Linked DNA regions of Rattus norvegicus. The protein of the gene in region 1 interacts with the protein of each later gene in a biochemical or structural test. Links are inferred from orthologs where the notes say so. Each region holds a gene or a part of one and is shown in the gene's direction. Other genes may lie near its edges. The genes, in order: Cdc25b and Ywhab.

Evidence for each region.
Region 2: the proteins of Cdc25b (region 1) and Ywhab form a complex in vitro, tested with the Homo sapiens proteins (2 studies listed by BioGRID). The link is inferred for Rattus norvegicus from reciprocal best matches to the Homo sapiens genes CDC25B and YWHAB.

What each region holds. Positions count from the first base shown.
Region 1 is NC_086021.1:138,857,093-138,864,613, forward strand, and holds the start of Cdc25b (M-phase inducer phosphatase 2), read left to right. Parts: upstream 1-3,080; 5' UTR 3,081-3,270; coding exon 3,271-3,470; intron 3,471-4,213; coding exon 4,214-4,335; intron 4,336-4,963; coding exon 4,964-5,015; intron 5,016-7,142; coding exon 7,143-7,184; intron 7,185-7,350; coding exon 7,351-7,387; intron 7,388-7,521. UniProt on the Homo sapiens protein: Tyrosine protein phosphatase which functions as a dosage-dependent inducer of mitotic progression. Directly dephosphorylates CDK1 and stimulates its kinase activity.
Region 2 is NC_086021.1:173,096,682-173,103,571, forward strand, and holds the end of Ywhab (14-3-3 protein beta/alpha), read left to right. Parts: intron 1-84; coding exon 85-208; intron 209-1,450; coding exon 1,451-1,614; intron 1,615-2,395; coding exon 2,396-2,491; intron 2,492-2,976; coding exon 2,977-3,033; 3' UTR 3,034-4,827; downstream 4,828-6,890. UniProt on the Homo sapiens protein: Adapter protein implicated in the regulation of a large spectrum of both general and specialized signaling pathways. Binds to a large number of partners, usually by recognition of a phosphoserine or phosphothreonine motif.

The sequences.
Region 1 (7,521 bases):
AAAAAACTAACCAGCACAGTAATACTTTTAGTATATTAGATTAAATACAATACTAAAATTAAAATATAAAACTTACTATCCTTACCGCATTTATTTATATTTTTGCTGTGTTATGAGCAGATGCCAGAAACCAGGCCTTTGCATATGCTAGGCAAATGGTCTGCCCCTGAGACACACCTCAGACCCTTTTCTATTTTTGTTGGTAGTACTTTGGGGTTGTTTGTTTGTGACAGGCTCTCACTCTACAGCCTAGGCTGGCCTCAAACTGTCACTGATCCTCTTTCCTCACTCCTCCTCCGTAAGTTGACAGAGTACAGGACTGAGGTTAGCTTCCCTTTTGCTTTTTGAACGTGGCTACTAAGGAATCTTTAATTCTGTTTGTGGCCGCCATGCGCGTCTGCCACCATGCTTCCTTTGGCTAAATATGAATCATCTTCAGGAGGTGATACAAGAAATTTCTCACAGTGCTGTTTCTGAAGATTTAGGGGTGGGGCTGTCTTTTGTATCATAAGATGTTGTTCTTTGAGGTTTTAGTGGCACAAAAATTTAACATGTCACACCTATGGAAAAAAAAAAAAAGGTGTGTGTTGGGGGACTAGTAGAGGAAACACCGTTCCTAAAAAGGCCCTGGAGAGATGGCTCTAGGTTAATAACACTGCCTGCTCTTGTAGAGGACCCAGGTTTGACTCCCAGCACCCACATTGCAGCTCACAACCCTCTGTTTCAGGGGATCTGAAGTCCTCTTCTGTCCTGCACAGGCACCAAGCAGGCAAATGGTGCACACACAGGCAAAGCGCCTGTGACATAAAACTCTGCGGGCTGCACCGTGAGATTTTTAACCTGCGGGCAGTGGCACTCCATGCCTGAAATTCCCAACACTCAGGAATCAAAAACAGCCCAGTCACCATAAAGTTGAAGCCAGCTTGCTCTACACACAGAGTCAGAAGCCAGCCAGGTTTACATAATATAGCACTCCTCTTCCTAATCTCAAAAAAGAGCAAATTTTTAATTGGATATTTTATTTATTTACATTTCAAAGATTATCCCCTTTCCCAGTTTCCCCTGTGTAAACCCCCTATCATACCCCCCTACCCCTGCTTCTATGAGGGTGCTCCTCCCACTCACCTACCCTTCCACTCCCACCTCACTGCCTTAGCATTCCTCTACACTGGAACATCAAGCCTTCATAGGACCCAAGCCACCCCTCCCATTGATGCCAGATAAGGCCCCTTTCGCTCCTTCGTCCTTCCCCTAACTCCTCTATTGGGGTCCCTGTGATCAGTCCAATGGTTGGCTTTGAGCATCAGCATCTGTATTGGTCAGGATCTGGTAGAGCCTCTCAGAAAATAACTGTATCAGGCTGTCAGCAAGCACTTCTCGGCATCAGCAGTAGTGTCTGGGTTTGGTGTCTGCAGATGGGATGGATCTCCAGGTGGGACAGTCTCTGGGTGGCCTTCAATCTCTAAGAGCAATTTGTTGTTTTAGTTGAGTATGTATTTTATGATCTAAGTGGAAAAGTGAGGTTCAGGAGGGTGTGAGTGGGTGTCAGTTGCCGTGGAAAGGACATCTCTCTCCTCCACTGGGACAAGGAGAACCTTTCAGTTGTGGAACTTCATGAGATTCAAGTGATCAAAACTCAACACAGCATGGCTCCTCCTCACCCCAAACAGTGTGTGAGCTGAGATGCAGGTTGAGGGAAACCAGCTATGTTGGTTTTGAAAATATACTCCTTGGAGCAATTTTATTTCAGGTCTTTGGAATGGAAGGCCATGTGGGGACACATTTCTCTCCTGGTCCTGGCACTAAGGTCTTGACTTATGACTGGAATAAGAAATGGGTCCCCAGTAGCAGTATATAAGTTCCTGACATACCACAGGAACTGGGCAAAATGTTGAAAGAAAAAAGTGGTCAGGTCGTGGTTCCTACCTCGGGCACTCCACTCAGGTGTGTCTAGTGTCCTCCTTTATTCACAGCTGAACCTCTTAGACTCTATCCCTACCCTTAGTTACCCCTTTGCCATTCTTACCTGGTGGGCCTAGGGTGGTGGTTAAAATAGCAAAGGCAGGTGTTCAAGGCTGCTCTCAGCTCCTAGATCCTATACTGCACCCCATGACCGTCCCAGAAGCCACACCCTCACTGGGGAATTTGAAAAAGTTCCCAACTACTTACTAGGTCCTTCCCAGCTCATTCCAGGAAAACAGACTCTCGCCTGCAAGGTGATTAGATCGTTAGAAAACGCTCATTGTAAACTAATAGCAAATTCAGCCTCTTTTACTTTCAAAGAAACACTATGGTGCTATTAACCCCAAATTAGCCAAGCCATAGTGGGTGTGAGATTCTTCCCTTACTGGGTTCTCTGGCTGCTCCCAACTGCCTGCTGCAGAAATCATTGCGTAAATCTAAACGTTTAATTCTCAGGGGTTATAGGGGAGACTATTGGGCTTAGCTCAGTGAGGCAGTTCCTCTGTGCCTCGCAAAGCGCCGCGGTTGAATGACTGCAGCTGCTCTCTGCGGCCTAGGGGCGTTGACAGGGAGGCTGCAGGATCAGAGGAGCCCGGGAGGGTGCATCTTCGTCTCCGCCATTCAACCAAACCCGTGACCTTAAACGAGTCACGGAACTTTTCAACGCTCGGTCTGTAAACCGGACAGGGAACGCAGAGCTCACAGCAAACTTGGCAAACGTCCTAGGCTCAAGCAGAGTGTAGCACCGACCCTTACCGGTGACCGTGCACTGATGGTAAACGTCGAGGGCTCCTTACGAGGCCACCCTAAGTGATGGCTACTCCTTCTGAGGTTATGTACCTCCAAACCCTGTCCCATGAGGCAATATCCTGGAGACCAGGATTCTCGTGTCAAAGGGAGCGGAGGGTATGTGTGGAACAGGGGGTTAACCCAACTCCCTGAGTCACCCACCCTAAGAAGCCAAGCCGGCAGAAGTAGCTGGTCCAGCCTCAGCCCAAGCCACCAGCGCCCCGCCCTTGGTCCCGCCCTCCCGGAACCGGCGCCCCCATTGGTGGCGTCTGGCGGCGCTGCCGCTGTTATTTTTCGAATATATAAGGAGGTGGAGGTGGCAGCTGCCCAGCTCGCGTCTTCCCCTCCCTTCCTCCCCACATCCCTCTCCTCACTCCCAGGCCCACTGCTCTTCCTCCCTCCCTCCCCTCCCTCCTTCCCCTTACCCCAGGCTCACTCTCGGAGCCTAGCCATCTGGGTCGGCGTCTGCTGGCCGCTGTACTTGTGGCCCTCTAGCTAGCCTTTGCCCGCCCCGCCACCATGGAGGTACCCCCGCAGAAGTCTGCGCCGGGCTCAGCTCTCAGTACTGCCCGCGTGCTGGGTGGCATTCAGCGGCCGCGCCACCTCTCAGGCTTTGGGTTTGGGTCTGATGGCTTGCTGGGGTCTCCAGAGCGTGCGGCTTCCTCCTCTCCGGTTACCACTCTTACCCAGACCATGTACAACCTCGCAGGGCTCGGCAGGTAGGATGCCCCAAGGGCACTGGGTGTGGTGGGATGGGAGGCCGGGACCAGGAGACACTAGGCACCAGAGCCACGGAGTGCAGCACACCGACGCCTTTAGCCTTGTTTCAGTGACATGGGACCAGTGTGCTGAGTCAGAAGCTATGCGACTTACACCCTCCAGATGACTGGCCGTCTAAGGATCATTTACCTCACTGCTCCTTCATTGTGCCTCCTGCACACTGTTCTTAGGCAGAGGATCATGAGGTTGGCCTAGAAGTGGGTCTTAAAAGGCTGCGCCCTGCTCTTTGAAAATATCTCACCTACTCCCCTAAGGCTTAAACTGAAAAAAGACGGGCCACCTCCTTAACCTGTGGGGTCCCAGCTGGGTGGTCGGTCCAGCTGCAGCAGAGAGCCGGGTCTTGCTTAGCCTTTGCCTCCTGGGAAATGCTGGCGAGGTGAGGATGTGCCCAGCAGGAGAAGGTTCTCCAGAGCTTCTGGGCTGTCTCCTGCCCATCCTTCTCACTCTTCCAGACACTTAGAAGGGTCTTTCCTGAACCAGTCAACGCAGAGAAGACCCTCTCGGGCCTCAGTAGAATGAAATGCTTTGACTTGAGATACAGGCTAGTTCTAGGATCACCTCTCAGTGACAGATAGATGGGCCCTTCATAGTTGGGGAATTCATGGGAGCATGGGCTGACCAGCTTCCAAATCCAACATTAATTTCTTTTTCTCCTCCTCTGTGCCTCTTTCTCCTTTCCTAGCGAGACCCCAAAAACTCAAGTAGGAAGCCTGTCGTTCCAGAACAGGCTGACAGACCTGTCCCTGTCCAGACGTACCTCTGAGTGCTCCCTGTCATCTGAGTCCTCAGAATCTTCTGATGCAGGTAAGGCCCAGGGCCCGTAGTGGGGGTACACACACCACCACCACCACCACCACCACCACCAAAAGAGATCAGGGAACTTTCTGGACCTTCTAAATTCTCTGCCCATGAGATAGATCCCGGTCCTTTCCACAGAATCATCCCCCAGCTTGCCTTCAAAACTATGAAGCAAACAAACCTCTGGTGGGTCTTACCACACCCAGCCTAAACTGGGAGTCTGGGGAAGGACGACTCTTGGTAGGAGATGGTATCTTACTTATTTGAAACCTAGCGGTAAAGCCACTGAACTACAGCTCCACCCAGACAGCACTTGGTACCAAAAGCCTGTCCTTGTGAAGCATTCTCTTAAGCTGTAGCCTTTTCTCCTTAGAAAACCATTATCTTTTCCAAGTTGTTTTAAACCAGCTTAAGAAAAATGCTTAGAAAGCACTAAAAAATAAATAAATAAAACAAAAAAGTGCAGATACGTTTCCCATAGTAAATAGAGAATGTAGCCCCTCGTCCTATGGGGGCAGTGTCCCATTAAAGTATGCCTTGATCTCAAAGAGAAAGAGGTTTCTTTTCCCTTTCTTGGGGAAAAAGTAAGCAGGAAAGGCTGCTACCTGCAAGCCAAGGTGCTCTGTCCCACCAGGTCTCTGCATGGACTCCCCTAGCCCTATGGACCCACAGACAGCAGAGCGCACGTGAGTAGAGGGGGAGGAGTCCTTCCACTGAGGACTTGGCACCTGCCCTTGAGGACTGATCTTTCTTTAATGTGTTTTTAATTATGTGTTATATGGTTTTCTACATGGGGATATGTGCGTGTAAGCGTGTTGTCCTATAGCGGTCAGAGAGGGCCTTGGAACACTTAGAGCTAGAATTCCAGGCTGTCGTGAGTTGCCATATGTGGGTGCTGGGTACTGAACTCAGGTCCTCTGCAAGAATAACAAATACTCTTCGTCACTGAGCCATCTCTCCAGCCCCCAGTATCCTGCTTAAGAAAGGGAAACCAAATAATAGGCAGGTTCCTCAGGATCCCCATTGCGAGGGGTTGGTTTCTTCCTAAGTCTTAAGAATTGGCTCCTTATTCAGAGAAGGCCTGATACCATAGAAACCAGAGGAACGTGGGCTCAGGACCACAGGTCACAGGAACAATGGCCTCTGGGAAAGTATACTCCAATATTAGTCCAGCTAACATTGTCATTCAGAAAAACAATGCCCCTCATGTTCCCACTTTTCTTTTTCTCCTGTATACATTTTTTTGTACATGTAACATTTTTTTCAAACTTAAAAATATGGTCCTGGGGTTGGGGATTTAGCTCAGTGGTAGAGCGCTCGCCTAGCAAGCGCAAGGCCCTGAGTTCGGTCCCCAGCTCCAAAAAAAAAAGAAAAAAAATATGGTCCTGTTGGGTGTGGTGGCCCAACACTCTGGAAGATCAGACAGAAAGATAGGCAGTTCAAGGCCAACCGAGGCCAAACAAAAATTGCATTTGCAGACTGGCCTGGCTCATCAGCAGCTCCCAGTTTTCCCTGACACTTGGTGCTTTTGGCTGACCCTTGACCAGACCCTTTGCAACAGGGAATGGAGAGGAGAAAGCTGGTCTTTGCTGTGAGCAGACTCCTCCTCCTTGGCTGTGGCACAATAGAGCCTTGTAGAGCACACCTGTTCCCATCCAGCTGTGGAGTAGCTGTCAGTCATTAGGAGGAACAGCTGGGCATTGCCAGTCACAGCTTTTGGTTTAGGGCGGGGGTTACTATTTCCCCCTGATGTCTTTGATCAGACTGTGCTGGTCTCAAGGTTTATTCACAAACAGGAAATCGAGAGTTGGGTGGGGATGGGAGGAGTGTACGTTGTTTTTTAGCGACAACACAGATAGATCCCTCACCCCTGAGGCCCAGCTACAAATGATGCCAGGTTGATTGCACACAGGCCTCTCTGAGGGTCACTTGGACACTAAGTGCCTCTCCAGTTAGTCTGCACTTACTTTTGACTATTTACAGCTTCTCAGAAAGAAGCTGGGGTGTACGTGTGTGTGTGTGTGTGTGTGTGTGTGTGTGTGTGTGTGTGTGTGTGTTAAGCTCCACATGACAGGTGCTCCAGCAACATTGGAAGGCAGGGCCTGTATGTAGAAGTTGACGCTTCAGCCTCAAATGGAGCATCTGTTGGAATTCCTTGCTGGCTGGCCTCTTCTAAGACAGAAGGAGGGGGTGGAACAGAGGTTGGGTCTTAGAAAATTCCATAGGAGGGAGGAGAGAATGTAACCCTGTATACTTGTCACTAAAGGGTCTGCTGGGCTGATCCAGAAAAATCACCAAAGCAGCCCCTGTCCAGGGAGCCAGGCCAGTGGCTAGCAGAAAGGGAAACCCAGCATTGCTGGCATCCACCCCCAGGGTCACCTATATTACAGGGTACCTTCAGCCTGTTGTCTGGGATGGATCAATGCCTTTCATGGTGGCCATATGGCCCCAGTAATGTAATTTGCATACAGGTGGAAGGCCTGTGCTTGTGTGTGCAGGCTGGCGAGACTGTTGCCTTGGTGATGTCTTAATGACCCTGTGACCTGCCCCAGCTGTCTCCATCACTGCCTTTCTCTGGGCCTGCTTTTCATTCACAGCAGCCTTTACAATTCCAGGCTGCCTCAAACCCTTCCTCCTTGGTCCCTGGTCCCACCAACAGTGCACTATTTTCTACTCTCCCCTCCTAGAGCCTGACCACAGGCCCTCATCCTTGCCCTTGTTGCTGGCCCTATGGGCATGAGCCAGGCTTGGGCCTGAGGCTTGGGGTAGATGTTGGGCTACTGGGAAAATGGGTCATTTCTGCTCTCTCCTAGGTTTGAACAGGCCATTCAGGCAGCCAGTCGGGTCATTCAAAAGTGAGTCTTCCCTTCCTTCCTTACCCACCTCCTGCTGTCTTGTGTGGTGTGGATGTCATGGGTGCAAGGGAATCCTGCCTGCTTTGAGTCACTGGCCTCTGATTTCACAGCTCTGAACTGTTTTTTTTTTGTTTTTGTTTTTGTTTTGTTTTGTTTTGTTTTGCAGTGAGCAATTTACCATAAAACGCTTCCGGTCTTTGCCAGTGAGTATCTTCTGAGGCCTGACAGGGAGCTTATTGGGGGTACCTGAGAGATGTGTTTGAACTAGCCAGGCATTCCCGGACTGGTTGGGGGAGATGGGATTTCATCTGGGGGGGGGGGGGGCTGAAGAGTCGGA
Region 2 (6,890 bases), about 34 Mb from region 1:
GAGGAGTGTACATATCTTAAATCTCAAATGTAATTTTAACATCTCACAAGCAATTCAAAATTCTTATTGTGAATCACTTTTTAGGAGCTGTTGGACAAATATCTCATTCTCAATGCTACCCATGCAGAAAGCAAAGTGTTCTACTTAAAAATGAAAGGAGACTATTTTAGGTATCTTTCTGAAGTTGCATCTGGAGATAATAAACAAAGTAAGTAACATTTGAAAAATACAGTCAGTGGGAGAGATAATATTTCATAATGAAATCTGGTTTTTGTTTACTATAGACACTCAAGTTCACAGAATTTCAGAGACCACAGCATTGTCATGTGTGGCCATGGGGTTAATAAATCTCTTTATCTAATGGATAGATATGAAGGGTGTTAGAAGTTTGATATGTAATGTGTTTGGCAAACTCTTATCTGGGAATTGATAGTTCTCTTTTTACAAGTACAACTATAAAAAATAATAATTCTCCTTGGCTATGATTTTGCTTTACCCACTTTGTACATACTGTCTTTGTAGTCTGAAATCTAAATGTAAGATTCCAAAGATGAGTGAGTCTAAATTTTACCCCAAGTAACACTGCATGCACTAGTCACCTGGCCAGCACCTGGTTGCCATATTGGTTACTTGATTGACTATGCAAGTGTGGTACTCCTTGTGTTCAAGTGACTTGCTAGTTTCTGAACTGCAGACTACATTACAGTGTATTGTTAAAACTGTCCTGGTGATTTCCTGTCTGAGTATGTCTGATGGGTTTCAGTACTGTCTAGTGTCAGGCATCCACAGATAAGGGAGACCTGTGTGAGACCACCATAGGGGAGTGCCTTCCTTTCCGCCCATGGCTTACTGTGAAGTGATTATAGCTGTTTTATTTTATTCAGTGTTCACTGTGTGCTAAGTAATTAGGGTTGTGTTATCCTCTTAGCACTTTGAATTTAGGTGAGAGTCTCCCATGTTTTCCAATAAAAGAAACCAGAGTTCGAATTTAGATGTTTTTACTTGCTCCAGGCCACATACAAGTGAGTTGAGAATTTGAATTTGTTTATGCCTATCTTTTTTCTTTTTTTTTTTTTTCTTTTTTTCGGAGCTGGGGACCAAACCCAGGGCCTTGCGCTTGCTAGGCAAGTGCTCTACCGCTGAGCTAAATCCCCAACCTGTTTATGCCTATCTTAAACCCCATCTTTTTTTTTTTTTCACTAGATTATCCACATTCATTCTTATGAAGGGCTGTGTCTATATTCTTGGCTGCTTTAATAGACTTCATTATAACTGTTTTCTTCCAAAGCCTTTAATACAGTACTTAGCATAAACATTTAGCAGATGTTAGGTTGAATGGTGAAGACGTGGACCTTTGTTTTGATGGGTTGCTTGCTTTAGCTTCTTTTACTAAAGTGTCTTGGATATGGATCCCATGTGCGAGACACTAACATTTTTATCTTCCTTCCAGCCACTGTGTCAAACTCCCAGCAGGCGTACCAAGAAGCATTTGAAATCAGCAAGAAAGAAATGCAGCCTACACACCCGATTCGCCTTGGCCTGGCTCTGAATTTCTCAGTCTTTTACTATGAGATTCTAAACTCTCCTGAAAAGGCCTGTAGCCTGGCCAAAACGGTGAGCAAAGACGCATTGCTAATTCCAAGAACTTCCTTCTGTTTGTGAGCATCCTCACCATCTAGACTTGGACGCATTTTCTAGGGAGTGGGGTTTTAGGAAATCCATGCACACCTCTTATTTGGCACTTTGCTCTGAATATATTGTCTGGTTACTGTTGGGGTCATTGGTAGAACCTTCCAGGTAAAAAGTAGGGGCTCTCTTCAGGCTTTGGACATTGTCACCTTTGTTCCAAGATAGGACCCCATGAAAGAAGGAGCCCCACTTTGTTTGTGCTGTATTATCACTTCCTGTGTTCTCTGAGAAGCTTGCTTTCTGGTGCACACTGTTATTTGAAACTTTAATTTGAAAAGAGTGCCTGAAGTGGATTCTACAAAGTGAGCCCGGGAGACAAATCAAGCTTAGTGAAGTGAGCTTACCTGTTCTCCCCTTTGACCTTTGTGTCCAGACCTTTTTAGTTTAAACAAAAAATAGAAGCCACTTTGATAATTAAAAACCTGAGTGAATTTTTAGATTAAATGTGCTACGGTTAACATAACTTTTTTGGGGGGTTTATCATTGCTGACTGGTAGTGTGTGTGTGTGTGTGTGTGTGTGTGTGTGTGTGTGTGTGTGTGTGTGTGTGAGAGAGAGAGAGAGAGAGAGAGAGAGAATGAGAATATGTGGGGGGGGTGTACATTTGAATAGGTGGCAGACAGTTGAGCGCAGACAGGTCTCACCAGCAGGACAGGTAGCGCTAACACAAAGAGCGCCCAGATCTTTGCTAACACCCTTTGTTGTAGGCGTTTGATGAAGCCATTGCTGAGTTGGACACCCTGAATGAAGAGTCTTACAAAGACAGCACCCTGATCATGCAGCTGCTAAGGGACAATCTCACCGTAAGTACCTTCGGAGAGCAGATAGCTCCTTAGTCCACTGTTAGCCAAGATTTAAGATGGCTCTCTACTCTGTCAAGTACAGTTTTACATTCTCAAGTTACCTACATCTTACTGCTGAACGTTATGCCTTTTCAGTCATTGTCTGTGGTCAGAGGGAATTTCGAGTTGTTGAATGTGGGACCTGGAACCATAGCTCAGTGGTTCTCAGCCTGTTCTTCCGAAGGAACCACACCTTCCCATTGCAGCCCACAGCCATCTGTAACTTCAGTTCTAGGGGATGTAGTGCCCTCCTCTGGCGTCCTAGGACAGTAGGCATGCAAAAGGCACACAGACAAACGTGCAGGCACAACACCCATACAGGAAAAACATTTTAGTTTTTTGCAAAATGGTAGTTAAATGAGGTAAAATATACTAGGCAATCTCTTGAAGAAAGCTTTTAATGATCTTGATTTTATTACAGCCTTTTCTTTCTTTTCCTTTTGCAGCTGTGGACGTCAGAAAACCAGGGGGATGAAGGAGATGCTGGAGAGGGAGAGAACTAATGTCTATTGAGCTCTGTGATCTGTTTGGTGTCACTGTATCCTCCACATTATGTCCCTTTGTGCGATAAACAAAAACAAAAAAAATCCAATGTGGACTTTCGATCTTTCACAGCCTAAGCCTTGCAGAAACGGTCCCTGGGATGAACAGCTGGTATTTGTATCTAAAACTCAGACTGGTCCCTTAAATGCCATGGTATTTTGAAGTCTTGATTTGATCAACATTGACAAGGATTACTGTGTGTTTAATTTTTACAAACTGAACACTGTGATTACAGGGCTTTATAACTTAGCAGAGCTCTTCCTGGTAGGAAAAATTGACCTGAATTATGTGTAACTTTTTGGAAAGTTTAATCTGATATCAAAATGGTCACTGAAATACAATTCTGTTGTAAAGTTGTACAGAAAGTTCTAGAGATTCTCTTGTGATGCTGGGACTTGGGCGAGATGCTTACCCTTGGCATCCTGAGTGTGGTAACTCACAGTAATTCTGCCTGTGGTTGAGGGCCTGTTAACCCTTGATCACTTTGGGCTGTTACCACTCAAAAGTTCATGACCGCAAATATCTGCAGTGTCTTCTGAGGAAATTCAAAACCTGAAAGTGAACTTCTTTGGCTGATAATTGGGCTGTAACACCACAAAAAGGTCCCGTGTTCATACCACATGTGTGACTAAACCTTTTTATTATAGCAACGTGTTCCTGATTAGCTCCATGTGAAAACGGGGCTGTTACCCCCTAGCTGAAGGAGAGGGGAAAGAGAGAGAAAGTAGTGTATCATATAAACGGCCATACCAGTTTTTTGGATGATTCTTCAATGTTCTGTGGATGCGGCCTCTTGCCTGAGGAGCATTCCTAGCCTTGGGGTGGGAGCTGTGACACGTAACATTCTTCTCACCCTGTCCTTTTGACTTTTGACTTTTTCCTCTTTAAATGTACAGCTTTCTGCTTCCTTGGGTGGTTTTCTTGGGAAGCCTTTATTAGTCAGTACTGTGTGGACAGGGCGGGGCATTGAGCACATGGTGAGAGCTGTGCTTTAAAGGTTGAGAAAGACCTTCCAGCACCACACCCTGTCTCCCTCCAGGTCTCAGCACAGTTGTTCTTCATAGTATGACCCAAATCGGGAAAAAATAAAGGACTTTTAAGTATTTGTGATTTCCCCCATTGCACCCAGCCCTGACAGTGCTTTGTCTGTGCCTGTGACAGACCCTCCCTCCAGTGGACTCATCCAGCTTCGTCCTCAGACACGCCTCAAGAAGACTTAGAACACAGGGAAGTTGCATGGACACTACAGTAGAGAGAACCAAGAACAGCCAGGCCTTCAGTCTCACAGTATCACCCCTCTACCTTGACATTCCGTGTACCCATAGCTGTAGAGTTCATCCGTTTGTCCATCTGCTGAAATATGAAAAGAATTCATGCACTGATTTAAACAAAAACAAAAAACCCACAAAAAAATTTCTTCTTTCTAGCTGAACAGAAAACGTGCAGTTAATACTCGGCGCTTGACAAGCAGCAGCGAGTGTGGACCAAGCCTGTCTGTATCTGGTAGCTCTTCGCTCTGTTTTCTTTCCTTACCAGTATTCTGCCTAATGTTTGCTTCCGTGGTGGTTCTTTGCCTAGCAAGCACACCTGTGGTTGTGAAAATAGTATAGCAAAAAGAAAAAGACCCCCTCCCCACCCCCAGTTACTGATGTGCTAGATCCGTGTATGTCTTTTAAACATTCTAGTTTCTCCTTACACAGAGTAATCAGGACGATGTAAAAACTCAAAAGTGAAATAAAACATCTTATCAGTTAGTTGCCTGTGGATTGATGTGTCACCACCCTCTCTTTAAAGAGTAAATAGTTTTTCTTTACCCTTTAGAACCAGCGGTAGAGATGTCTTAGATGGCCATCTGTGGTAACTGCCGGCTTGAATTAGAGCAGCCATGATCACCTGTGCAAGACCCTTGCCTTTCTTTTCGAGGGGGTGGAGGGCATGTCACAAGATTACATAAGCACCTTGGCTGAACGTGCACAGATGGCAGCGCTGCTGGTGGCATAGCCACTCTCAAGGTGCAGGGGACTTAACAGTGATACAGCTGCCTTAGAACCCGCCATACTCCTTTCTGTCAGCAGCCCAATAAAACTTAGCTGGTTTGCCAAACTGGACGTGGGTGGAATCCTTTCTTCGGTATCTATTATCTTCCCTATCTGGAGTGAATAGATGGGACTGTATCTCCCTAGGAAAAACCCTGTAATGCTCCATTCACCAAAACCAAAGGTGAGTCTGGAAGGAACAGCTCCAGCTGTAGGTAGTAGGTGTCAAGACAACAACTGAGCCGAGTGTTGATGAAACCCGGAAGTGGCTGTTTGCCTCTGTAATAGGGTCTTCTGGTAAGTGATACACCCTCCCTGCAAGCAGCTGGTGGACAAGAAAGAATGTTAGCGTCTCTGAAGGTTTCCCTGGGTCAGGATTATAAGCAGGCAGTAGTGGCCACTGCATGGCCCATTCTGTAGGTAAAGACAAGTGGCCGAGGCCACACTGCCAGTCCAGAATTGCTCTTCGTAAAGGAGGAATTAAGAGTGGAAAGAATGGATGTTACCTACTGTTTGCATTAAGTGGGAGAAAGGGAGGGATGAGGTGAATACAACAGATGGAGTAAGTACAAATTGAATGTGTTCTTCCTGGGATCCATGTCCCGCGCTATCTCGCCAGCAAGAACACGCGGGGACACACGACTCCTTCTGCAGCAAAACGTTTTTATTGTATCTTAAAGAGAGGGCCCGGGTCGCCAGCATGGCACGGCTTATATACACCCTAGCGCTGCGCATTCACACCTGATTGGTCGCTTACCCATGATCTCATAGGCACGCCCCGGAGTGGGCCAAGACCTGGCACAAAGACACTCTTGCACATGCGCACACAGTTAACTTCCTGAAAGGAAGTCAGCTGGCGCGGCGGAGGCCAGCGCCATCTTGTAATGGCAAAAGCTATCCCGGCTTTCCACGTGGGGCACAGTGGAAGTCAGCGCCATCTTGTGGTGGCGAATGTTTTTGCGGCTCTCCACATCTCCCCCTTATTGTTTTACTAATATGAGGCTGGTCTAGGTCCCTGCAGTAACGTCCATCTGCTGTGGCTCCTGTCTTAGGTCGTTCCTCTATGTCACAGCCTTATCCGTCGTAGGGTAACCCTATCGCCACCGGGCCCCGTGTCTTAGATTGGTCTGTGCATGAGGAAAGTTGCCAGTCTCTGGATACTGCAGTGCTGTGTGACAGTAACTGCTAAACAACCTAGGGCGAACTCTACAAAAGAGGCCAGCCAGAAAATGAGTTAGTGGGGAAATCATGATCACCCTATCGCGTGCAATGAGGAAACCTCAGCGATGTAGAAGGGCTGATCAAAGAATCATTGAGTCTCATCCCAGTGCAATGGATCCACAGATCCATGGGGTGCAAGAGCAGAGAACTCAGATACCGACTAATTCCTGAGCATAGATAACCAAATTTCAGGGGAGGCCCCTTGTTCAATGGCCACAAGTGCTTGAATGATAACGACCTTGTCACGTTTCTGTTGAGATCTGAGTTTGCAAACCAACCATAGCATGAACACTAATCCACAGCATAGGGCTGCACCAAACAGAGCCACTCTCGATAAGTAGTGGGCACCTCATCCGGTTCTAGCAACTACTCCAGAAAGTTCACCCACTGTGCTTGCCTAACAATAGATTGGGGGGAGGGTAACTCCAGACACTGCAGACACAATGGCTACAGCAGTAAATGGCTGCTACAATAGCAGCGAAAATAACAAGGTCTTTCCCAGGACAGTTCAGGATCAGCCATTCTTTTCTGGAACAACCAGCAGGCAATGGAACCATGTC